Linked DNA regions of Caenorhabditis elegans. The protein of the gene in region 2 interacts with the protein of the main gene of each other region in a pairwise test. Each region holds a gene or a part of one and is shown on either strand. Other genes may lie near its edges.

Region 1 (10,869 bases), on a different chromosome or scaffold from region 2:
TGAATTTCAATGATTCCTCCTGCACAATCTGACCTATGCGCAGATTAATCTTGAAAAAACGTAGACATAGACCACACTTTTATCCTTGCGAATGAGAAAACGCTTGAAAATGCAACCGGATCAAGTGAAATCGATAAATAACCTAAAATATACTGAAAACTCAATAAAAATACATTAAAATCCAAGAAAAATTCAATAAAAATCGATACAAATCGATAAAATCACGTCCTTTTTCGTACCAACTCATTTTTTTGAATGCCTGACAAAAAGCCTTTGTATGTATTGCAATAACACTAAATTCTGAGAATGCGTATTATCAAAAAATATAAATCGCACTGAATTCTCTGTGAAAATACAATTGTAGGAGGAGCGTAAATAAAAAATAAATAAAAAACAAAAGTCACGTGGCCACGGCCCGGCGAAAGAGACGTGGCCGCGAGAGCTGCGCCGGCTAGGCCACCGCCTCCTATGGTTAAGATTTTTGAACGAATAAACATTTTTAATTTGACTGCTAAGCTCATTTATCTTCGTTTTTTCTCGTTTTTTCTCATTTTTATCGATAAAAATATTTTTTTTGTTGCAGAAAATCACAAAACCGCGGCAAAACAGCACTCAACCGCCAACTGGAAGGAGGAAAATTCGAAAAAAGTGAGTTTTTTTTGTCTAGTGAAAAAATCCTATAGAATTTGACATTAAAAATGCCGTCATAGCATTTGTCGTGATGTCAGCTTTCGAAAAAGTACAAAAAAACGAACTTTCATGTCGAAAAAATCGAGAAAAATAGAAAAATGTGAAAAAAATGCACTACGGAGATTTTCGTGTCTGGAAAATCCCAACATTCCTATAGAATTTCGATATTTTTTTGACGTTTTCACGTTGTACTGGACGAGATCTTTCTAAAAACACCAAAAAATCGAGGCCCCATGTTCAAAAAGTTGACTTTTTTCAAAAAGAAAATTTCAGTAATACTAAAATTTTTAAAAATTATTTTTCGAAAAACTGTATAGAATTTCGATATTTTTTTGACATTTTCACGTACTACTGGACGAGATCTTTCTAAAAACATCAAAAAACCGATAGTCTATGATCAAAAAGTTGACTTTTTTTCGAAAAGAAAATTTCATATCAAATTCGAAATCAAATTTGTCACGAAGCTGATGTTGGACCTTTCATTAAAAAATTTTTCCAGGATTTTATACTCCGATTATTCATCTTTTGATGACGTGATGGTTGATGTTTGGAATCGTTCATCGACTTCATCGTTCAACGGGAAGCACCTTGAAACGGCATAAATCGCTGCTGGAATGCAATTAACCTTGGTACTTTCCGATTCATTATCCAGGTAACAGTGGATGGCAATACTTCAATATGAGTCAAGTGTACAATATTCATAATATGGTTAGTTTCCAATAAGATATTTGTAACTTAAAAATCCGAATTTTTTTAGAATCAACCCGATTGCAAATGGATCGCGCTTCCACCGCCGCTGCCACATAAAGATGCCCGAATAGAACTCGTATAAGCCCCGATTTGGACTGACAGTTGCACCACCTATGGCAGAAGTCGAAAAAGAAAGTGAGTTGACAGTTATTTGAAAACATGAAATGAAAATAAAAATTGCAGATCGAAGAAGAGGGAGGTCATGAAACGGGCGAAGCAAGTGTTCATCAAGCGCAATATTTCTGTGAGAACAATGCAGAGGCAACGACAAGTGGCATGCTACTCCCCTGTTATGGAAGAAGAGGCTCTTGAAGTTCGTCAACCGAAGATGACTGGTCAAGAAGAAAAGCTAAAAAGGAAATAATCTCTCTTATCGCAATTTCTCACTGATCACTTCGGATTAGGTCTTTTTACAATCTTTTAAATTTTTATTGACTATCTTTTACATTTTTATTATGTATTTACATTGTTATTTTTATATTAATAAACGAATTTTTAATAATAACACGCGTTTTTCAATAATCAAATGTGAGATTATACGATTTAGGGAATTTCAGGGCTCTAAAACTCGAAAAAATTGGCCAAAATCGAGAAACATTGCGAAAAACTGTTTAAAGTATCGATTTTCTTCAATATCAGCAACATACAATCCTTTAAAATTATTATTTTTTGTAAATTCGATAAAAATTCATTTATTTTTCACAATTTCTGCCCGAAAATTGCCGAAATAACCAGCGTTTCTATAACTAAGAAAGTGTCGTCAATTAAAATGCCGCGTCCGCAAAATGTCGTATGAAACTTTTCGCTGAGTATCAAACGTTGAATATTCAGTCAGCTAAATTTTACTACGGTAGAGATTTTACAGCCACGTACGGTTCGCCGGGCCGTGGTGGCCAGTGCGATTTATATTTTTTGATAATATTGCGCAACATATTTGACGCGCAAAATATTTCTTAGCGAAAACTATAGTAATTCTTTAAATGACTACTGTAGTGCTGGTGACAATTTACGGAAATAATGGATTAATCGATAATACGAAAAAAAAAACTAAAGAAAATTGAATATCGATGTCACAATTTTCATTCCAAAATAGAGCCCGTAAATCGACACAATCACTACTGTTCTCATTGAAAGAGTTACTGTGGGTTTCGCTACGAGATATTCATCGCGCCAAATATGTTGCACAATCCGCAATCTCAGAATTAAGTGTTCCGGTTACGATAGCTGAAGTTGCCAGAGCTCGAAGACGTTAATCTGGTGACCTTACCAAGTCAACACATTAAAATAGTGGTTTTTTTGAATTTTCAGAAAAAAAAAGTAGCCAAAACATTCTGGAAAAAGAGAAGCAAAACTACTTCGAAGAGAAAAATAAAAAAAAGCTAGGATTCCATAAAGAGTTGTAAAAACCTGGATGATCCTGAAACCTGAAAAAAATCCTAAAACTTATTGAAATGACTTCCAATTCCATGGTTTTCGTTGGTTTATGTACATATACCATTCATCTTAACATTGCTTCAATGCAGTTGCAGTTTCCAAAAATGAATGATTCAAATGTTTAAATAGGAAACAATATATTTTAAAAGTTTACAGCTTTATTTAAAAATCATTAACCAAAAAATATTATGAATAAGTACTGTCTTTAGCCAGTGACTCGTGCCAGGAAATTGAACCCGTAAGACCCTCATCGTCAACTGTTGATCTCCTTCACCAAACGTAGAGGCGACAGCACCTATCTTGCCAGAATGATCGCTCCATATGATGACCATAGGCGCAATCATTCTCTCAAGATAATATAGAAGGAGGGTAAATGCATTAAAAATTTTAAAAACATTGATTGAAAATAGTATTCCAAAACGGCAGCAATAATAGAAACTTTAGAAACTGAATCAATTCCAGTGTATAGAAAAACTTACAATTTAAACATTTTATAAATTGAAATTTTTTTTTGGAATATTGTTGCCAAAAAATGTGCCAAGATAACCAAATATCATAGTAGAACGTTTCAAAAAATTTGAAACTAATTTTGTAACCCTTTTTGGAATTCGCCGATTGTTTCAAATAAAAATTGTAAGGATTCGAGCATGCGAAATTACTACAGTTTTCTAAAAATGTGGCTAAAACTCAATAACCTGCCATTTTTATTGCCAATAAAAAATTTTCAAAACATGTTACTATGATATTTGGACATCTTGGTGGCATATATGTGGTTTTTAACAGTTTCCCCACTGCTACTCCACCTTTAAGTCCTGGGAACATTTCCGGCAAATCGGCAAATTGCCGGAACTGAAATTTCTGGCAAATCGGCAACTTACCGGAATTGAAAATTTCCGGCAAATCGGCAAACCCGCAAATTTGCCGATTTGCCGGAATTGAAATTTCCGGCAAATCGGCAAACCTGCAAATTGCCGATTTGCCGGAAAAACGGCACTTTGCCGAAATTTAAATTTCCGGCAAATCGGCAAACCTGCAAATAGCCGATATGCCGGAAAAACGGCACTTTGCCGGAACTGAATTTTCTGGCAAATCGGCAAATTGCCGAAATTGAAATTTCCGGCAAATCGAAAAACCTGCAAATTGCTGATTTGCCGGAAAAACGGCACTTTGCCGAAATTTAAATTTCCGGCAAATTGGCAAACCTGCAAATAGCCGATTTGTCGTAAAAACGGCACTTTGCCGGAACTGAAATTTCCGGCAAATCGGCAAACCTGCAAATTGCCGTTTTGCCGGAAAAACGGCACTTTGCCGAAATGTAAATTTCCGGCAAATCGGCAATCCTGCAAATTGCCGGAAAAACGGCACTTTGCCGAAATTTAAATTTCCGGCAAATCGGCAAACCTGCAAATTGCCGGAAAAACGGGACTTTGCCGGAATTGAAATTTCTGGCAAATCGGCAAACCTGCAAATTGCCGGAAAAAAGGCACTTTGCCGGAATTTAAATTTCCGGCAAATCGGCAAACCTGCGAATTGCCTGAATTGAAATCTCCGGCAAATTGGCAAATTGCCGAGTTGCCGGAATTAAAATTGCCGGTGAATTGCCGCGTGGAAAAAGTAGCTGAAAAATGTTTAAAATGGCAGGACCTGATAATATCGCATGTGAATTTTTTTATTCAGAGATCGTGTGTCAAAAAAAACTAACATCAACCTAACCAACACGAGATCGGCTACTAATCAGTAAGTGATAACTTTTGAAACTTATTTTAATTGAAAAAAAAAACCATTTTCAAGTTTTCATATTCTAATGCTTATAGAAGAGACAAGTATCAAGAATCGAGGAAGCGATCTGCTAATTATGTATCAATTCAAAGCTCACCGGATCTCCCCATCAAGAAAAATCTACTAACGTCAATCGCGCAACAAGAAATAAGAAGCCATCGAAGACATTGGGACAGTACATGGACGGCGAAGAGTTACGAGAGGATTTAAAAGAAAAAGGGAAAACTATGGATAACGATCTGAAAAAAAGTTTGAAGGAAGCACCTAGTGAGAGTTACTGTTACGTTCTAATAAACCCATACGTTCTGGACAAAGACGTGAGGGAAGTAGATCTGGCTACGTTCCTCTCGTCAATATTCTACGTGGGCAAAGGAAAAGGGGAAAGAGCAATGGCCTACTTCAAGGATGCTTGCGGGAACATTCAAGGAAGCCGCAAGCTTACTACAATTGACCAGGCTTGGAACAAAAAAGGATTTGTTTATAAACACATAATTTGTACGTTTAGATAAGAAAAATCTATAAATTGAATTGCTTTTTAGGGAGACCAATTATCGAAAATCTAGCACTCGCCAGGGAAGCTGCTATGATATTTTTTTTCAAAAATTTGGCTGGAAAATCGAACTTTACTAACAAATACGTAAGTTAAATTAATTGGCTAAAAAAGATTCTAATATAGTAAAATTTTCAGAACGGCAGTTTCAAAGGAGAGTCGGCGTTTTGGAGCAGGGAAGAGAAATGCAACTACGGCGTATACCTGCTAGAAACGTAAGTTTGAAAACAAAATATCAATAATTTAACGTCTAAATTTTAGAATACACCGTTCAATCCAAACCAATGGCTGTGAGACTGTCAAAAAAGAAGATGTTGCTCCAAGAGCCGCGATCCAACAAAGTCCTCGACTCTAAACTTTTAATTTAATTGTTATTTTTAAATTCCCTCATTCACATTACCCAACTTCACTATGCTACTGACTATTTAAAATTGCTCAAAATTCAAATATTCCACTTGAATAAACCTTATTATGAGAAATTAATATTTGACCTTTTTTATTTGAAAATAAACTGTTCCCGCCGTTTTCTTTATTTTTTTGCATTGTCGTCATATCGCGCGCAAAGTCCGCAGTGACACCCGCGTGGTGTTTGCGTACCCCGCAATTGTCATCCTCACAATTTTCGAACGCGACTCCCGATTTCTTCGTTTTTTGCTGTAAATTTCGGATATTTCCGGTCAAAAATTTATTAAAATATCTGGATAATGGTAATTATCAATGTCGTATTGTGTTTTTATCGATTTTCTCAGTTGTTTCCACGAAATTTCTGTTAATTTTCACCGAAATCTGTTTCAGAGAGGAATGGAGCGATTCCTGCGACTCGGAGGTCTTGGTGGAAACCTTGGAACGGTAATTGCATTCTGTTTCGATAGAAAATCATCTAAAATTTCGAATATTTCCAGTTCGGAGCCAATCCACAGGACTCGAATCAAGTCGACACCTCGGAAACCGTCTACATTTCTTCGCTGGCGTTGCTGAAGATGCTCAAACACGGAAGAGCCGGAGTTCCCATGGAAGTGATGGGGCTGATGCTTGGAGAATTCGTCGACGACTACACCGTCAATGTGATCGACGTTTTCGCTATGCCACAGTCTGGAACCGTGAGTTTTCGTCAAAAATTGAATTTTTAAAAAAGATAATTTATTATTTTCATTACAGGGAGTCTCAGTCGAAGCGGTCGATCCAGTATTCCAGGCGAAGATGCTCGACATGCTCAAACAGACCGGAAGACCCGAGATGGTCGTCGGATGGTACCATTCCCATCCAGGATTCGGATGTTGGCTCTCCGGCGTCGACATCAACACTCAGCAGTCGTTTGAAGCGCTTTCCGACAGAGCTGTCGCCGTTGTCGTCGACCCGATTCAATCTGTGAAGGGAAAGGTTGTGATCGACGCGTTCCGTACGATCAACCCACAATCGATGGCTTTAAATCAAGAACCACGTCAAACTACCAGTAATTTGGGTCATTTGCAGAAGCCGAGCATTCAGGTTGGGGAAATTATCGGTTTTTAGTGAACATTTCAATAATTTTCGGTTTTTTTTTCAGGCCCTAATCCACGGACTCAATCGTCACTACTACTCCATCCCAATCGCCTACAGAACCCACGACCTTGAACAGAAGATGCTCTTGAATCTTAACAAGCTCTCATGGATGGACGCAGTCAGCGTCGAAAACTACTCAAAATGCGGTGAACAGAACAAGGAGCACCTCAAGGCGATGCTCAAGCTCGCCAAGAACTACAAGAAGGCGTTGGAGGACGAGAAGAACATGACGGATCAGGAGCTCGCGATCAAGAACGTCGGAAAGATGGATCCGAAGCGGCATATTGCTGATGAAGTGAGCAAGATGCTCAACGACAATATTGTGCAAAGTTTGGCCGGTATGATGGCGACGACTTCATTGCAATAATTTTTAAATCAATACTCATTTGCTTATTTTTTTATTATTTTCTCAAAAATTCCCAATTTCCTCGTTCTCTCCCCGTCTTTTTGTGTATTTTTCCCCATAATTTATTTTGAAATCATCCCAGTTCGGTGTTGGAAAACATGAATCTTCCCCGCCTTTAATCGATTTATTGTTTATGCGTTAATTTAGTCCATTTCGCTAACAACTGAGGCAGCAGCATCACATTCAGATTGTTCATATCGACCGATGGTGTGTAGTCGTTGATGAGGAGATATGGAACTTCGAGGATCGGATTCGGTCGGGTGCTCATCGTCTTTTGAGCAGCTTCGCGCTGGAGTTGAACGCCACGTGGACCATCGTAGCATTGTCTGAAATTGTGAAAGATACGGTCTCGACACGACAATCTTTTTTTTTAATTCAAAAAAGTTTCGCCTTTAAAGATTACTGTAGTTTCACTTTTAGGAATTTTCTATAAATTTTTCATTTGATTTTCACCAAAACATAATAAAAAAATATTAAAAATCGATAGAAATTCCAAAAAGTGAAATTACAGTAGTCTTTAAAAGCGCACAGCTTTCCGCGTTTAACACAATTTTGTCGTGTCGAGACCGGGTACCCCGTTTTTTAGCTCAAGATCGGGAAAACTTTGAACATTTTATTCGAAAATTTGCAGAAAACTAGTTTAATTATTATTATCATTATTAGTTTTAGGAAATTATTATTAGAAAACTAGTTTAAAAAACAGTAAACGCGCTCCACGGCCAATCGAAAGCGCTCCGCCTCCGAACCATGGGTCTCGTTAGGAATTCAGCGGCAATACCGAAAAAAATGGAGCGCGTTTACATTTTTTAAATTCATTTTTCAAATGAATTTCCGAGTTTATTTACCAAAATACTGGAAGATAATTAGTTTTTTTCGAAAAAATGCAGAAAAATCGTATTTAAAAGGATAATAAAAGCGTGTGGCAAAATTGCAAAAAGAAAATCGGCAAAGTGCCGGTTTGCCGATTTGCCGGAAATTTTCGATTCCGGAAATTTGCCGGAAATTTTCAATTCCGGTAAGTTGGCGGTTTGCCGATTTGCCGGAAATTTTCAATTCCGGTAAGTTGCCAATTTGCCGGAAAATTAAATTCCGGCAATTTGCCGGTTTGCAGATTTGCCGGAAATTTGCAATTCCGACATTTTGCCGGAAATTGCAATTCCGACAATTTGCCGGAAATTTTCAATGCCGGCAATATGCCCGTTTGCCGAATGCCGGAAGTTTTCGATTCCGGTAATTTGTCAATTTGCCGGATAATTTAAACTCCGGAATTTTGCCGATTTTCCGGCCCCCGATTTGCCGGAAATTTTCAATGCCGGCAAGTTGCCGGTTTACCGATTTGCCGTAAAAGTAGTTTTCGGAATAAATACCTAATCTGTCGATATTGGCTCCGAATGAACGCGGAGCACGTCTGCATCGCGTGTTCGACTCCATAGTGTTGAATGTTACGTTCGAAACAGACGATGAAGGGCAACGCTCCTTTGACCTGAAATCAATCACTTTTGATAAATAGAGAGAGAGATTGATCGGCGCTCATCTGTGTCTGTGTTTTGAGCCCCCCATCAATTGCTAACCTTCAAAATATCAATGACACAAGATTGAAGGCGATTCGCGTCGCACTCTTTTTGTCCGTGATTGCACGAGAATGAGCCGTCCTGTGCAAATTTGACGATTTTCAGAATTTTCAGAACAAAAAGAAATTACCCGCATTATCCTAGAGTTTCCCCATGGCACTAGCTCAAGAATCAACTGGCCCTGGAACTGATTGAACACACTGCCCAACTGATTTGCGATGAATCTGAACTTTATAAATTCCAGTCAAATCGATTTTCCTATGGCCTACTTTTGACAATATGGGCACAAGGCCTCATAGATCAAGGTGATCTTGATCGGCTGCCGCCGGTGACGGAGACCATCGCATTGCCGTTGGACCCCACACTGTTGGGCAGACTGCGGGCTGTCACACCTGGAAAGATTTTTTTCTGGATTTTGCTAATTTGGGGTCTTGGCACGATCGAAATTTTTTTGAGCAGAGCACAGCATGAGCCTAAGTCTAAGCCTAAGCTGAGCTTAAGCCAAAGCCTAAGCCTCAGCTTAAGCCTATGCCTCAACCTAAGCTTTACTCTAAGCCTAAGCTTAAGCCCCAGTCTAAGCCCCAGCCTAAGCCTATGCCTAAGCCTAAGCCTAAGCCTATTTCATTTTGTTAAAAGCATTTTCCCCCGCATTTTCCTCTGAAAAAACAACAAAAAGCACTTACCACAAGTCTGGTGGAATGTCACAAATCTGATGCGTCGGCTGATTGAACACAGAAGCGTGTGGAACCGACGGATACGCCGCCTGATAGGCTTTTATCGCATCTGGAAATAGCTTTGCTGGAATATTTATATTTTTTGACCTTGTGTCGATTTACGCAGATTGTGCACTCCTGGAGGAGATGGAGATCAAAAGATTTTGGCTTTTTCGGTCAAATACTTTGTTTGATTTTCCACGGGGAGTACACTAGATTCGTAAATCCACACACATACAGTCGCTGATATCTTCCATATTCAAAAATATTTTTTGGAAGTATGACGTCAACGGAATTGCACATGTGACGTCATCATTCCGATGAAGAGACTACCGTAGTGCGTATTCTTACTTGGACTAGGATAATTATTGTAGGGGTACTGTTGTTGCTGCTGCTGCTGAGACGCCTGTTTTTGTTGGTGAGCATGTTGCTGCTGTTGCTGCTGCTGATGGTAGTGTTGCTGGTGAGCATTGTAATTATGATTCTGGTAGTTTTGCGGGTACGATGGCTGATGCTGGCGGTATTGGGATTCTGTATTCTGAAAATGGGGAAAAAAGTTGCGCGTCAAATATGGTGTATTGTGGTGGGTTGCCCTCGCTGACCACCCGGAAGCAAAACACGTGTGTCTGGAAGGCCGGTGCCATCGTCCTAAAGTCCCATTACAACGCGAAACACTTTTCATTCTTATTAGTTCCTGTCCACCGCCTTACTCTCAATTTCTCTCAAAAGTTTAGTGCAGTTAAATAAATGAGCTTCTTGCCACCTCTGACCAGCCAGCTGAGAGCAGTGAGCCCCTCAGAGCAAAGATTTTTTGCGACCTTTGAGAACATTGGAAATGGAGAACCAAAAAATTAGGTAGGCATACCTCGTGCCTGCATCTCGCCTACCGCCTGAGTAGACACGAGGCAGGCCTTGAAGGCATGCAAAAAATGCCAAAATTTAGAAAGTTGGCAGATATGTTCAAGTCGAAAATTATCATTTTCAAAATTTTCATTTCATTTTAAATTTTGAAGAAGTTTTGTGTACTGAAATTTTTTGAAAATCGACTGTTTTTGGAAACCAATAAAAACAACTGAAAACTGAAGATTTAAGGCAAGGTTTTGCGGTAAATTTGGTTGCCGAATTTGCAAAAAAATGCAGAGAATTTTTTGTTCCAAAATTCGATTTTTAAAAGTTTTCCAGAAGCTCCAAAAGTGGCAATTTTGAAAAATCGCCTAAATTATTAAAATTGCAAAAATTGGCAATTTTTGAGTTCAAAACCTTGAGTTCCCAAGCTGAAAATCCAGAAAAATTCCGATTTTGAACAACAACATTCTAATTTTTCAAATCAAACCTCCAAAATTGTCTAGAATTTCAAGGAATATTCCTTTTTTAGCAAATTTTTGCAAAAAAGGCGTCCTTGATTTTTATTTTGGAAAATGTCTAAAATACCAT
Region 2 (13,541 bases):
TATCAAAAATGAGCCGAAAAATGGCAAAGATCGACGGTATCTTGGTTAGTTTTAGACTTATTTAAAAATTGTCAACTGCTAGCATATTCCTTATAAAATTTTCTATATTTTGGTATTAGAAAAATTCGAAAAATCTATAAAATGAGTTTAAAAACGGTAAAATTAGCAATTTGATGTAGCATCTCTTTATCAGCTTATATCTTTTTTACTTTTGAAGTTATCAAAAAATTGTCAACTACCAAAATCTTTATCAGCTATTTTTCTATACTTTCCCAGTTAAAATTCTCTTAAAATTCTAAAAATAAACCGAGATATAAGGCTTAAAAGGAAATACGGTATATTTCTATGTGTGTCCCGCTGTGCTTGTGTTTCGGGTCCGTCATTTCTATATTTTTGTGTTTTTATGTTTTTGTCTGTTCATACTTGTCCATGTCTCTGTCTTGATGTCCTATGTTGAAGAAAAATGAAATATTTGTGCATTTTAAACATTTTTTGAAATTTTTGTCCAACTGGCTCAGTGCGATTTTCGCCGACTGCCGAGCAGAAGACCGGGGTTCGAGTCCCCGCGGTGGATTAAATTTTTTTCAAGCTTGTTTTAGAGGAATTCTAACATTTTGAACTCGAATTTTAATATTTTGAAGCTGAAAAATATTTGCAAAATGTTCTAATTTGAGATTTCAAAAAAAAAAATTAAAATCATTTTTGTTGTTGTTCTTGTCATAATTTTCTGTCTATTTTTTAGTTCTTCACCTCTTTATCATAACTAATTTTACTAAAACAGGTACAAATGAGGACGTAGATCACCTGCCGCCAACATGCTCCTCATCTGACGATCATGACGTCATTTCTCCAGACTTTAGTGCAAAAAATCCGCTTTTAAGGTCTCGTAACGACTTTATGGGCGGTTCTGTGAGAAGTCCGAGGAGATATGGAAATGATCATGACGGGCATATTTATAGTAAGTTTTGGGGGGAAAAAATCGAATCTTCAGACAAAATTTCAAATTTGAAAAAAAAATTCCTAAATTTTTGCTCAATTTTTTTTGTTGCTCATTTTCCCCCATTTTCAGCATCTCCATTCCTGCCGCCACGTGTGCCCATCCGCAACTCCCCGATGACGTCATCACTCAGGTCCCGCCCACCGCCCCCGCCTTACAACCGCAGCCCCGCCCACAAAATTGAGCAAAATTCTTCGTTTTTTGAGCCAATTGCTCATTCGACACCAAATTCGTCAATTTTGGAGGAAAGAAGGGTTGTGGGGGAAGGAGAAAAAAGGGAACTAGTTAGAGATAAGGTAAGATAAGATTTTAGAGGAAAAATTGGGAAAAAATGGATTTTTGTGGGGGGTAAAGTGAAGAAATTTGCATTAGAAACTGCCTGAAACATAATCTTGAACTTTTTTGAAAATAATTAGGCTTAGGTCTAGGCCTAGGCTTAGGCTTAGGCTTAATCTCAGGCTTAGGCTTAGGCTTAGTCTCAGGTTTAGGCTTAGGCTTAGGCTTAGGTCTAGGCATAAGTTTAGGCTTAGGCGTAGACTTAGGGTTAGGCTTAGGCTTAGGCTTAGGCGTAGCCTCAGGCTTAGGCATGGACTTAGGCGTAGCCTCAGGCTTAGGCTTGAGCTTAGGCTTAGGCTTAGGCTTAGGCTTAGGATTAAGCTTAGGCTAAGGCTTAGGCTCAGACTTAGGCCCAGGCTCAGGCTCAGACTTAGGCTTAGACTTATGCTTAGGATTAAGCTTAGGATTAAGCTTAGGCTAAGGCTTAGACTTGAGCGAAGCTGGGGAGTTGAGAAAAAAAAAAAATTCCTATAAATTCCTAAAAATACAGATAAAGAATTGGGTCAAAAAATCGGCCGAAAAAAGACAAAAAATTTTAAAAAAATTTTAAAAGTTTGTCAGGGTTGGAGAATTGAACTTTCAGTTTTATTGAATTTAAATTGGCAAAAAAAATTGTATTTTTAATTTTCTGAATTTTTCACTATTTCAGTAAAACCATTTATTTTTGCGAAACTTTCCAGAAAAAAATAACTTTAAACTTCTTCCCAACATTTTTCATTTTTCAGGAAGAACGCATCGACAAGACGCTCAGCTACTACGAAAATGTAAATTTACCCCAAAACCCTCCGGATTTGCCGGAAAATAGTGATCTGAAACCGAATGAATCGACAATTTGGCACGAATATGGATGTGTATAATTTCTGTTTTTTTTTGAATTTTTTTCTCATAGAAGAGCTATTTATATGTATTGTAAAGCCGGTTTTAACGATTTTTAATGGTTTTTTTTTTTGAAAAATTTTTTCACCTCATTTTATGATTTTGTGCTCATTACAGTTATGTTTTTAATAAAATATTCAAATGTTTGAATAATTTTTTTTGTAATTGATTGTACGAAAATAGCAATAAAACTGGAAAAAAATTAAATTAAAGCTTCAATTTTGACTAAACTTCCAATTTTTTTTAATTTTTAGTCTCGCCACGAAAATTCTGCAGTAACCCTCTCAATTTTATGATAACACCTAAAAATTTGATAATTTTGAATTCAGCTAGCTTAGAGCTTTGATTTAAGTATAATCATGACCAGGTTTGGAGCATTTTGAGATTTTCTCATTTGCTGCTCCTTTAAATTTAAATTTTCGCTGCGAGATCCGAAAATTTTAAATCTAATGGATTATAGGCATTATTATACATTTTGAAATTGGAAAAACATGGAAAATGCAAATTTTCATATAAAAATGAGTTTTTCGGAAAAAAATTGAAAAAAAAAATTTTTTGAAAAAAAGTCAAAAAATTTTTTTTTTGACAACAAACCAAAAATGGTTAATTTTTGCTGTCTAGTGTGTTTCAATGTACTCCGACACGTCCAAAAGACCAGTTTTCCCGTCTATTTGTCATCATACTATGCCGTCTGCGTATCCATAGTTCCCGTTGGCCCATGCATGCTGATTCCAACCGTCTGCGTCTCTAGCCCCTCGTACACTATTTCCTCGAATTTTATTAGAATGGCAGACAACCAGGTGTACAACGTACTAGGCGTGTAGTTCTGGTGAACTTGTGATTTTTTATCGATTTTTTTTGGGTTTTCCAGGTGGAAAACTTGTTTTTTTTTAAATTTGCGAGCTTCATGTATTTTTGAGCACTATTTTCTGTAGAATTTTTCATTTGAAAGCATCATTTTCATTTTTCCAACATTTTTTCTTTTTCTTCAAATTCTTTTTTCCAACATTTTTTTATTTTCATTTTTCTTGTATTTGTGACAAATATATATAAGAAATTACTACTTTTTTCAATGAAAAATTCGTTTTTGAATGAAAAAATCCTTAAAATGGATTTTTGAAACTTCAAAATGTTTAAAAATTTTCAATTTCTTTCAAATTTGTGATGTTATAAATTTTTACAATTTTTTTGAAACTCCAAAATTTACAAATTTGCAAAAAATTTCATTTTTTCCGAATTTTCCGAGCTTCCGAAATCCATATTTTTGAAATACTTTTTGAAAAAAATTCAAATTTTTAGAAATTCGAATTTTTTAAGAAGGCTTAATGCCCAAAAAAAGTTTAGGCCTAAGCCTAAGCCTAACAAGGGAAGTCTTTGAGGGGGTCCGTAGATTTGGGGTTCTCATGCTAAAATTCCTACAGAAGAGTGTTAGTTATGATCTCTCCAAAAAATTTAGCTGCCCCGGTCAAGTTTCAGCAAAGTTATGACGTTTTGAAATTTCAGTTAAAAACACCATTGAAATCCACTGTCTTACCATGCAATCCACGCAAATCTCAGCCTGCGTGACCACCGAAAATGTGACACCCACCACATTGAGTTGAAAAATGTCTTCGGTGGCCGAGTTGGGAGTGCGCGCGTCTGATAAGATTTAAGCTTTGGTTCGATACCTTCTATTTTTGAAATATTTTTGTAAGTTGAATAAAGTTGTAAAACAACTCATTCAAACATTTTTGCGCATTTTTAAAGTGATTTTATTCTTATTCGGGAACCTAGAATCATTGTCCGCACTTTTTGGAAATTTTTATTTTTTTCATTTTTGCTCAAAATTTCTTAATCAACTCCAAGCAAAAAAATCAAAAAATTTCATTTTTCTAAACAATTATGAAATTGCTATGCTGTTGTTTAGAAATGTATGAAACGTACATTACACAAGTTTTAACTCTCTATTCGCAAGTAAACCGTCGAAATGATCTACATCTCACGAACTTTGTGCAAAATATTTAACCAACTTTGAAGTTGCATAACTTCGTTGAGATAAATTATTTTGAAATATGATCAACTAACAAAATGTTTGTTGAATAACAGTAAACAAAGTTTTAGTTATAAACTTTTTGATACCTTCAGCCACCAAAAAGTTGTGACCGTTTTCCAAAACACAATGTTAATAGAAAAACTAGCCAAATGCCAACCTTGTTTTCTTCTTTGTAGCTGGTATCAAAAAGTTTATAACTATATATATAACTAACACTCTTCTGTAGGAATTTTAGCATGAGAACCCCAAATCTACGGACCCCCTCAAAGACTTCCCTTGTAAGCATAAGCCTAAGCCTATACCTAAGACTAAGCCTAAGCCTAATCCTAAGCCTAACCCTAAGTTTAAGAATTAGCCGACGTCTAAGCCTAAGCCTAAGCCTAAATCTAGGTCTAAGCCTTAGCCTAAGCCTAAACCTAAACCTAAACCTAAGCCTGAAGCCTAAGCCAAAAATTCCAAGTTTTTTGAATTTTTCAAATTTTTGGAAATTTCTAATTTTTGGAGAAATTCAACTAAATAATTTTTTTTAACTTTTACAAGCTTCAGTTTTTACTCAATTTGTACCTTATTTATTGCCTTATTTTCAACGAATTTTAGTTTTTCAGCAAAAAAAATGTCTGCTGGACGAGGCGAGAAGCCGCCGTGCAGTATTTGTGGAGAAGTTGGTAATGGTGTGCATTTTGGAGCAGAAGCCTGTCGGTAAGCTGCTGCCAAATTTTCAAAGATTTCAGCCGAAAAAACGTGCATTTTTTTTTCAAAAATTTCAATAATTTTCAGAGCCTGCGCAGCATTTTTCCGCCGTTCAGTTGCCCTCAACAAATTGTACAGATGCCGTGGAGATGGAAATTGTGATATTCTTTCAAGTAGGCCGTTTTCCGTGAAAACTATCGATTTTTAGCCAAAATTTCAGCTATCAGATGCATGTGCCGAGCTTGTCGATTTGCAAAATGTATGGCAGTTGGGATGAAGCGAGAAGGTGAGTTTTAAGCCAATTTCTGAAATTTTCACCAAAAAATTGTTTAGAAAATTAGAAAAAGTAATCTAAAATTCGAAAATTATTCCTAAAAAATCGAAAAATTTGAATTGCAACAGCTTGTGTAGATTTACGGGAGTCTGTGTAATTTACGGAAATTTTTGTAAATTTACGGGAGTGTTTTGTAGATTTACGAAAGCTTTCATAAACTTACGGAAGCTTGTGTAGATTTACAGAAATGTTTCCTGTAGATTTACGGAAGCTGGTGTAGATTTACGGATGCTTGTGTAGATATGGGATAATTTTTCTTATATTTATAATCTAATTTTATTTTTTCAGCCGTTCAAAAATACCGTGACGCTTACGGAAAACGTGGCTCTGACGTCGAATCGCCGGGCAGCTCATCAGTTTCACTTCCGAATCAAGGCGACGGATTTGGCCCTCCTGGTGGTTTCAACCCGAATTCCACGTTCGACAGTGTCGAGGAATGCGGAATGCCAATTTTGACCATGTTGAGCCAGAATTACGAAAAACTGCAAAGTGTCCGCCGCGTCGTACATCACGATCAGGGCAGCAGTGTGTTTCAGGTACAGTTATCTGAAAAAAAAAATGAAAAAATTTGGAGTTTTTCATGTGAATTTGTACATAAGCTTGTGTAGATTTAGGGAGTTTTTCGTGTAGGTTTACGTGAGTTATTGTAGATTTACGGGAGCTTTTAGTGTAGATTTACGAGAGTTGGTGTGGATTTACGAGAGTTTTTAGTGTAGGTTTACAGGTGTCAGTGTAGATTTACGGGAGTTTTTATGTAGGTTTACGAGAGTTAGTGAAGATTTACGAGAGTATTTAATGTAGGTTTACAGGAGTCAGTGTAGATTTATGGGGGCTTTTGATGTATAGTTACGAAAGTTAGTGTAGATTTACGGAATCTTCTGATGTGAATATACGAGAGTTCGTGTAACTTTACGGGAACTTTTAATGTGGATTTACGAGCGTTTTTAGTGTAGATTTACGAGAGTTTTCAGTGCAGATTTTTTACAGCAGTCCGTGTAGATTTACGTGAGTCAGTGTAGATTTACGGAGCCGTTGATGTAGATTTACAAAAGTTCATGTAGATTTACAGGAGTTTTTGATGTAGATTTACTGAGCTACGTAAAATTCAATTTTTTTTTTCCAGATGCGAACCCCAAAAGCGGTGAGCTACAAAGAGGCGAATATTGTCAGCTCGAAGGAATGTGATCTGGTGGCCGACTGGATTCTCAACTCGTACCCCGGATTCGCAGATTTACACAAAGATCAGAAAGTAGGCCGGAAAGCCTGAAATTTCAGTTTTATCGAAAGAATTCAATATTTTCAGATAATTTTGTTCCGCAATTTTTTCTTGCCATTCGTGATTCTCCAGGGCGGTCATTTTGCGTGTATTCATAGTAAGTTTTTGGTTTTTTTTTGTTGAAAATTTGAAAACTGTTTTTCAATTTACAATTTCAGACCGTAGTGACGTCATAATTCTAGCGTCAGGTGACTACATCGACTGCTCGCACCCGGAGACGTTCTACTACGACCCAGACGGCCGCCAGCTCATGTCTTCAGAGGATGCAGTCAGAATGTTTGCATCGAGTTTCAGTATTTACCGGCGAAATGTCACAGATCCGATGCTCCGGGATAATGTGGACAGTTTTGAGTTTTTCGCGCTTTGCTCATTGGTTTTATTTGATACTGGTAACGTTTTTTTTTTTGGGATAAGTTTAGCTGATAATAAGTATTTTAGGCCTGGAAGGACAATCTGAGGAGTGTATTCGGGTCTCGCGACGAATTCGAGAGGCGATTCAGCGAGAGATACTGTACCACTATCGGAATGTGAGACATATTGAGGACCCGTCGATGAGGCTGGCGAATTTACTGTCTTTGTTGCCAGCGTTGCAGGTGAGTTTTGAAATTGTAAAGGAAAAAAAAATCTAAGCGGCCACAAAAAATTTCAGACCTGTAGCACAAATGTGAGCAAAGTTACGCGTCTTCAAAGTTTTCACCATGCGTCGCGTGTCGCGTCGCGGTCGACGTTGGAACTTTGAAAAGCTGTAACTTTGCTCAAAATGGTCGTAGAGCTATGAAATTTTGGGTGTATGTTTTTGAAATGAGCATTGACCTTTGGCAAAATTTTTGTGCCTTGACGCATTTCTAGTGCTTTGACGCAATTCTAGTGCCTTGACGCATTTCTAGTGCCTTGGCGCAATTCTTGTGCCTTGACTCAATTATAGTGTCTTGACGCATTTCTAGTGCCTTGGCGCAATTCTTGTGCCTTGACGCAATTATAGTGTATTGACGCAATTCTAGTGCCTTGACGCATTTCTAGTGCCTTGACGCATTTCTAGTGCCTTGACGCAATTCTAGTGCCTTGACGCAATTCTTGTGCCTTTACGCATTTCTAGTGTCTTGACGCAATTCTTGTGCCTTGACGCATTTCTAGTGCCTTGACGCAATTCTTGTGCCTTGGCGCAATTCTAGTGACTGGACGCAATTCTAGTGCCTTGACGCAATTCTAGTGCCTTGACGCATTTCTAGTGCCTTGACGCATTTCTAGTGCCTTGACGCATTTCTTGTGCCTTGGCGCAATTCTAGTGCCTTGACGCAGTTCTAGTGCCTTGACGCATTTCTAGTGCCTTGACGCAATTCTTGTGCCTTGGCGCAATTCTAGTGCCTTGACGCAGTTCTAGTGCCTTGACGCAATTCTTGTGCTTTGGCCCAATTCTAGTGCCTTGACGCAGTTCTAGTGCCTTGACTCTATGCCTTGACGCAATTCTAGTTGCCAAACGCGTTAAAATTTACGGATTTCCCTACGGAATTTTCAAATTGAGAAGCTTCGAAGCTTGTGCAAAAAGTCTTTTGATCGGAACATTCCACTGCGCTATACGGGCAAAATTCTCAAAAACTACCAAAAATGCTCAAAATTGTGCAAATTTCAGTTCAATCTGTTTTCAGAGAGCCACCCGCCGATTCCAGGAAGACGTAGAAATTTCACACGTCTTCAATGTCTACTCAGTGGACGCGAAGTTCTACGAAATGTGTAATGGCCGATTCTAATACAGTACTACCTACAGAAAAAAAATGCCAAGAATTTTTTTAAATTGTATATAATCCTGAAAAAAAAGTCAAAAAATGTGCCTGAAACTGTGATCAAAATCTAGTTTTTTATTGTTGTAGAAATTAACTTTGTGATTTGATTTGATTTGTTTTTTTTTTTGCAAATATTTTATTTCTCATAAACGTTATCAAATTTGAATTTTCTTCTGTCTACAATTGCAATTGCTGGTTTTTTCAATCCACTACACGTGAAAAAATCTAAAAATGCCCTCCTAATCGGCGGAATGCACATCATACTGACCAGTGGCACCATAAAAATGCAGGAGAACGAGAACATGTACCCGTAGGCGCAGAAATAGTTAACTGAACGGATACCTGAAAAATTGAAAAATTGTGTCGTTTTTTAGCAAAAAAAAATAGCGGAAAAAATAGCGGAAAAAATTGTTGAAAAATTTTTTTTTTTTTTGAAATTTTTTTTTTAATTTTCCCACCTGCCAGGAGTACTTTCCACTGCCGCATTGTTAGCGGAAATGACAATATAAATTCAGTGACACTTTGCAATAAAATCACAAAAGAATAATTGAGAGACAGGTGCTTTGTAGATGTACACTCTGAAAATTCGGCGGAAATTTCAAAAAAAAAACCCCCAAAAAATCCCACTTTTAAACAAGAACTTATCGATAACTTGCACGATAACCAGCGTGAAATTTGCCAAAATTGCAAAAATCAGCAGCGTATTGTTGAAAGACATCTGAAAATCCAAGAAAATGTCAAAAATTTCAAGAAAAAACTCACAGAAATCAGAAAAACGTCAGGTGAAGCTATCCACTGAGCACAAACATCATTAATAGTGACGTCACCAATTGCCAGGTGTCCCAGTGTGAAGAAAAGCTGAGAATAATCAACTTTTATATGGAAAATTAAAAAAAAATTTTTTTTAAGTCAAAACCCGATTAAATTCGACAAAAGATTAAGCCTCATTCCAAAAAATGGGCGGAGCATATCCGGACCATTTTATGGGCGTGGTTTATTTTGTACTACCATTTCTTTTTTAGCAAAAAGGAAAATTTTTGTAAAAGTGCAATTTTCACTAGAAAATGCGAAAACTTCCAAGCCACGCCTGTAAAAGTGGGTGAAGCTTAATTTCCTAGACTCCACCCATTTTGTGGGCGGGGTTTGTCGTGTACCGCCAATATTATGAAGTACAAGGAATTTCGAAAACACTGCAAAATTTTGACTGAAAATGATTTTAAAAAAACATGAAAATTTGTAGCCACGCCCCAAAAATAGGCGGGCTGAATTCTACAGGCTCCGCCCATTTTTGGGCGTGGCCTAAAGTGTACCATACTTTTTTCGAAGAACTGCAAAAAAAAAATCACAGAAAAAATGCTAATACTACCAGGCAGAACTAGAAAGGTTTGGTTTTTCAATTCACTCCCCAAAAGTGGGCGGGGCTTTATCGGCACGCCCACTTTTTTGATTTTTTTGTGGGCGTGGCTACAAACGTTTTTATTTTTCCATAAAAACCAGTTTTTAGAAAAATGTGACCAAAACGGTTCGAATTTTTATTGAAAAATGGGCCATGCTCACCAAAAAGTGGGCGTGGCCTATTTTTCCATTAACTTTCCAAAAATTTACCTCAACAAACGTGATGATCACTTGAATCACCACTAAATTAAACACTTTCAGCTTTTTCTTCAAAAAAACCAGACAAATATGATCAATAGCGATTGGTACAGTAATCAGGCCGGCCGACTGGAAACAGGCGAGCACAAAGTGACGGAGCAACGAGCAATGGAGCACGGATGGGTACTCGGGAGCTTTTCCGAATAGTAGGTACATTGTCTGCCACGTAGAGAGTAGGTAGAATGGCCAGTAGAGGATTTGCGCCGAGAATGTGGCGAAGGATATGTAGTTCTGGAAAATGAGGGATTGAAATTGGCATAACTTTGGAACCGGGTTAAGGAAAAAATTTTTGATGTGTTTTCTGAAAGATGAAGCTTTGTTAAGGTATTTGGTAAATTTTCAGGAAAATCGATAAATTTGTCGGGGAGAAATTTAAGTTTAAATTTGAAAAAGTGAGTTTTTCACTGAAAAATTCAAATTTTGAATGGTTTTTTCTGCAAATTTGAGTTATTTAAAAAAAAAATTGAAATGCTCATATTCTTGTAAAGTTATTAAAAAATTTCCAAAAAAAATTTTTTTTTTGAAAATTCCAAATTTTTTCCAAATTCTAGTACATATATTCAATTAACTCACCGCATACTTTAACATTAACCGCTTCCTCCTCCATAAAAATGCACAAAGAGCAATACTAGCCACCAGGGAGACTGTGTCCACTAGCCATTCGGACAGTAGGCGAGTTGAGTGTTCAATAGCCGTATAAGTTGGCTCGAACACTTCATCCCAGCCGGTTTCGTCGGTGGAGCGACTTTTGTGAATTCTGGCGTCGGTGGACTTGTATACAAATGGGAAAAGATCGAAAAGTGAGGAGTTCATCGGGAAAATTTCTGAAAAATGTGTTGAAAAGTTCGTTTCAATGGATTTTTCGCGTTTTGGGAGTTGAAAAATCGTGATTTTCACATAGAAAAACCTTTAGACCAGCTCCAGGGGTCGAACCTGCAACCTATTTATCCAAGCTCAAGCCTCTTACCCACTGCGCCATGCTGCTGGACGCGCCGCGCAGCTTTAGGAGGCTGTGCGCGGGAGTTCACGTGGCGCAGTGGTTAAGAGGCTTGACTATGGAGCAACAGGCCACAGGTTCAAACCCCGGAGAGGACAATAGGTTTTTGCAGGTGGTGATTTCGAATTTTTTGGTCTTAAATTGGGAAAATATAGTTTAAAACTGGAGTTTTCGAAAAGTTTCCTACAAAATCTCCATTTTTTCTGCCAAATATTAAAATTTCAAAATTGTAAAATCAATAAAATCACAATTTCAAACAATTAAAAACAAACCGAACAGAGTAAAATTCGCAATGAACAGTAAAAGTGTACAGAGAGATTAGCCAATAATCCGACAGTGCCTACGCGTTTTGTAGGGGAAAATGGAAAAAAAAATCGATCTTTTGGTTTATGAACAATTTATTAAACCAGGAAGGGAAACAAAAAAAATTAAATTTGAAAAAAAAAATTTCGAAAATTTTTTTTTTTTTAATTTTTTTCTTTCAAAATCAATATCATATCATTTTGTTATTTATGTTTCCGACTTTTTTGTCCATTTTCCACTAATCGATCAGTAGGCACCATATACTCATCGTTGTTCTCCTGGTACCTTACAGGTGGCTGGTTTCCTGAAAAATTGCCGATTTTTTGCAGGAATTTCCGGAACATTCTCACCCAAATATTGAGCCATTTGTGGAATCTGACACTGACAATCATCTGTCGCATCATTAATCGGTGTCATTCCATGGGGGCACTTGAAGAAGGCCTGGAGGTCCTCTACGGCCCGAGAGCTGATCTCACAGCCGTCGTGGTAGCACCTATCACAGCCAACTTGCTTTCTGCAACATTTTAATTGCGAAAATTGAAATCTCCGTAAAATTTCCAAAATTTTGAGACCCATATTGGCTATGTTACGAGCACTTTGCGATTTTGGGCTCGAAACGACCTGAAACGGCCTAAAACGGCCTGAGGTGGTTTTTTAAATGATATTGTCATAATCGTAAAATTTTTTACGTAAAAATCCAAGCAGTTTTGCTAAAATCGCAAAAATTAACTCTCACATCTCCAAAGCGGCCTGTTTCCGGCCTGAAACAGCCTGAAACGGCCCACACCTGACTTGAATTTCAATTTTTCTGCACTGTTCATTGTAAGTCTTATTTTTTCAAAATGAAAAATGTCTAACTTTATTTTATAAAATTCTGCACAAGCCATGTTCTGGAAAAAAAAGGTTTAGGGCCCAAAACGGCCTGAAACAGTCTATATCGGCCTGAACACGCAATTTTTGGCTTTTTCGTTAGAGATTGTTTTTTTGAATGTCTGATTTTTTCATTAAGTCAGCCAAGTTTCAAAAAACCCAATCATTCGAGCCCGAAACGGCCTGAAACGGCCTATTCCGGCCTGAAACTCAAATTTTTTGGAAAATAGTCAATATGGGTTTTGAAACTTCAGATTTTTTTAAAACATTTCTTTTTTTTAAACAATAACACTGGAAAATTGTCCGTTTTTCAATTTTTAGTTGAAAAAAAAACATACCGGCAGGGGTCACAGTGTATCTTAATTTTCATGCCATCCTTGGATCTTTTACACCTTGGGCAAACATCCACGTCAGCGGAAAAGTGATCGATTTTATGAATTGCTAGAAATACTTGAACAGTCTGAAATTTTAAAAATGCTCCAAAAATTTTTTTCCAAAAATTCGAGCCCACCTTATCATAAGTGGACCTCAATTTTGCCGTAATAATATCTGAATAAATATGCTCTGTTATCATATGTCTATGTCGTTGTAGAGCATTCAAAGATAGCCTAGAAACCGATGGAAGCAGAGCTGCATGGGTTTGAGTATCGAAGTTATGCTTCAGGGCCCAGTTGAGCCAGCAGAGCACTACGATCGGCTGCCGGAGATGAGCCTGAACTTTTTCGATTGAAAATTGGAAATCTACGTGAAAAATCCAAAGTTTTAACATCCATGTTGACTATTTTTGGTGAAGTTTGATTTTTAGGCTTTTTAGGCCGAAATAGGCCGGAACAGGCCGTTTCAAGCTGAGTTTTTTGACTAGTTGAGTGAATTTTCTAGATATTTAAATACGATTATAAAATTTCGACCATGTTTGAGAAATTTGGATTTTTAGGATCTTTAGGCCGAAATAGGCCTAATTGGGCCATTTTGAGGCGCGAAATAAAAAATTTTGAGTCAAGCTCATTTGAATGAAAAATGTTTCACTACAAAACACTGAAGTTTTTGAAATGAAATATCAATCTCCGACAGTTTGGGCCGTTTCGGGCCGATTTGGGCCGCTTCAAGCTCGAAATTTTTTATTTTTCTTGAAAAAGTCCGCATAGGTCAACTTTTCACGTAGATTTCAAATTTTGCACTCTAAAACTCACATTTTCGATTAAAAATTTCATACATCTAAGTTCAAGCCCCTTGGCCTGAAATCTCTGTGATAGCCTCATACATGTCTCGAGGGTTTCGTCTGAAATTCAGCATTTTCAGATAATTTTTGAATTTTCGGCTTACCCGATATGTCTTTAAGCGCCGGGCATGGTATGCAAGACTCAACAAACCACCGGAACTGTGTGGAGGGGGTGGG

Evidence for each region.
Region 1: the proteins of nhr-70 (region 2) and rpn-11 interact in a two-hybrid assay, tested with the Caenorhabditis elegans proteins (2 studies listed by BioGRID).

What each region holds. Positions count from the first base shown.
Region 1 is NC_003280.10:4,039,460-4,050,328, reverse strand, and holds rpn-11 (26S proteasome non-ATPase regulatory subunit 14), read left to right. Parts: upstream 1-5,998; 5' UTR 5,999-6,004; coding exon 6,005-6,052; intron 6,053-6,105; coding exon 6,106-6,303; intron 6,304-6,361; coding exon 6,362-6,691; intron 6,692-6,749; coding exon 6,750-7,112; 3' UTR 7,113-7,267; downstream 7,268-10,869. Other genes in the region: K07D4.2 (GIY-YIG domain-containing protein), read left to right, coding at 4,833-5,148, 5,193-5,290, 5,342-5,418, 5,465-5,558; pqn-48 (Prion-like-(Q/N-rich)-domain-bearing protein), read right to left, coding at 7,276-7,477, 8,519-8,634, 8,723-8,803, 8,853-8,946, 8,992-9,114, 9,406-9,505, 9,787-9,973. UniProt on the Caenorhabditis elegans protein: Metalloprotease component of the 26S proteasome that specifically cleaves 'Lys-63'-linked polyubiquitin chains. The 26S proteasome is involved in the ATP-dependent degradation of ubiquitinated proteins.
Region 2 is NC_003283.11:18,611,755-18,625,295, forward strand, and holds nhr-70 (Nuclear Hormone Receptor family), read left to right. Parts: upstream 1-4,832; 5' UTR 4,833-4,854; coding exon 4,855-4,940; intron 4,941-5,018; coding exon 5,019-5,104; intron 5,105-5,151; coding exon 5,152-5,217; intron 5,218-5,553; coding exon 5,554-5,801; intron 5,802-6,388; coding exon 6,389-6,514; intron 6,515-6,568; coding exon 6,569-6,638; intron 6,639-6,699; coding exon 6,700-6,930; intron 6,931-6,979; coding exon 6,980-7,134; intron 7,135-8,187; coding exon 8,188-8,289; 3' UTR 8,290-8,458; downstream 8,459-13,541. Other genes in the region: grdn-1 (Girdin homolog), read left to right, coding at 782-958, 1,070-1,293, 2,059-2,190; Y69H2.1 (Serpentine Receptor, class V), read right to left, coding at 8,459-8,664, 8,781-8,900, 8,950-9,040, 9,085-9,180, 9,928-10,206, 10,549-10,788; Y69H2.15 (BTB domain-containing protein), read right to left, coding at 11,479-11,579, 11,626-11,789, 12,484-12,605, 12,657-12,857, 13,336-13,424, 13,469-13,541.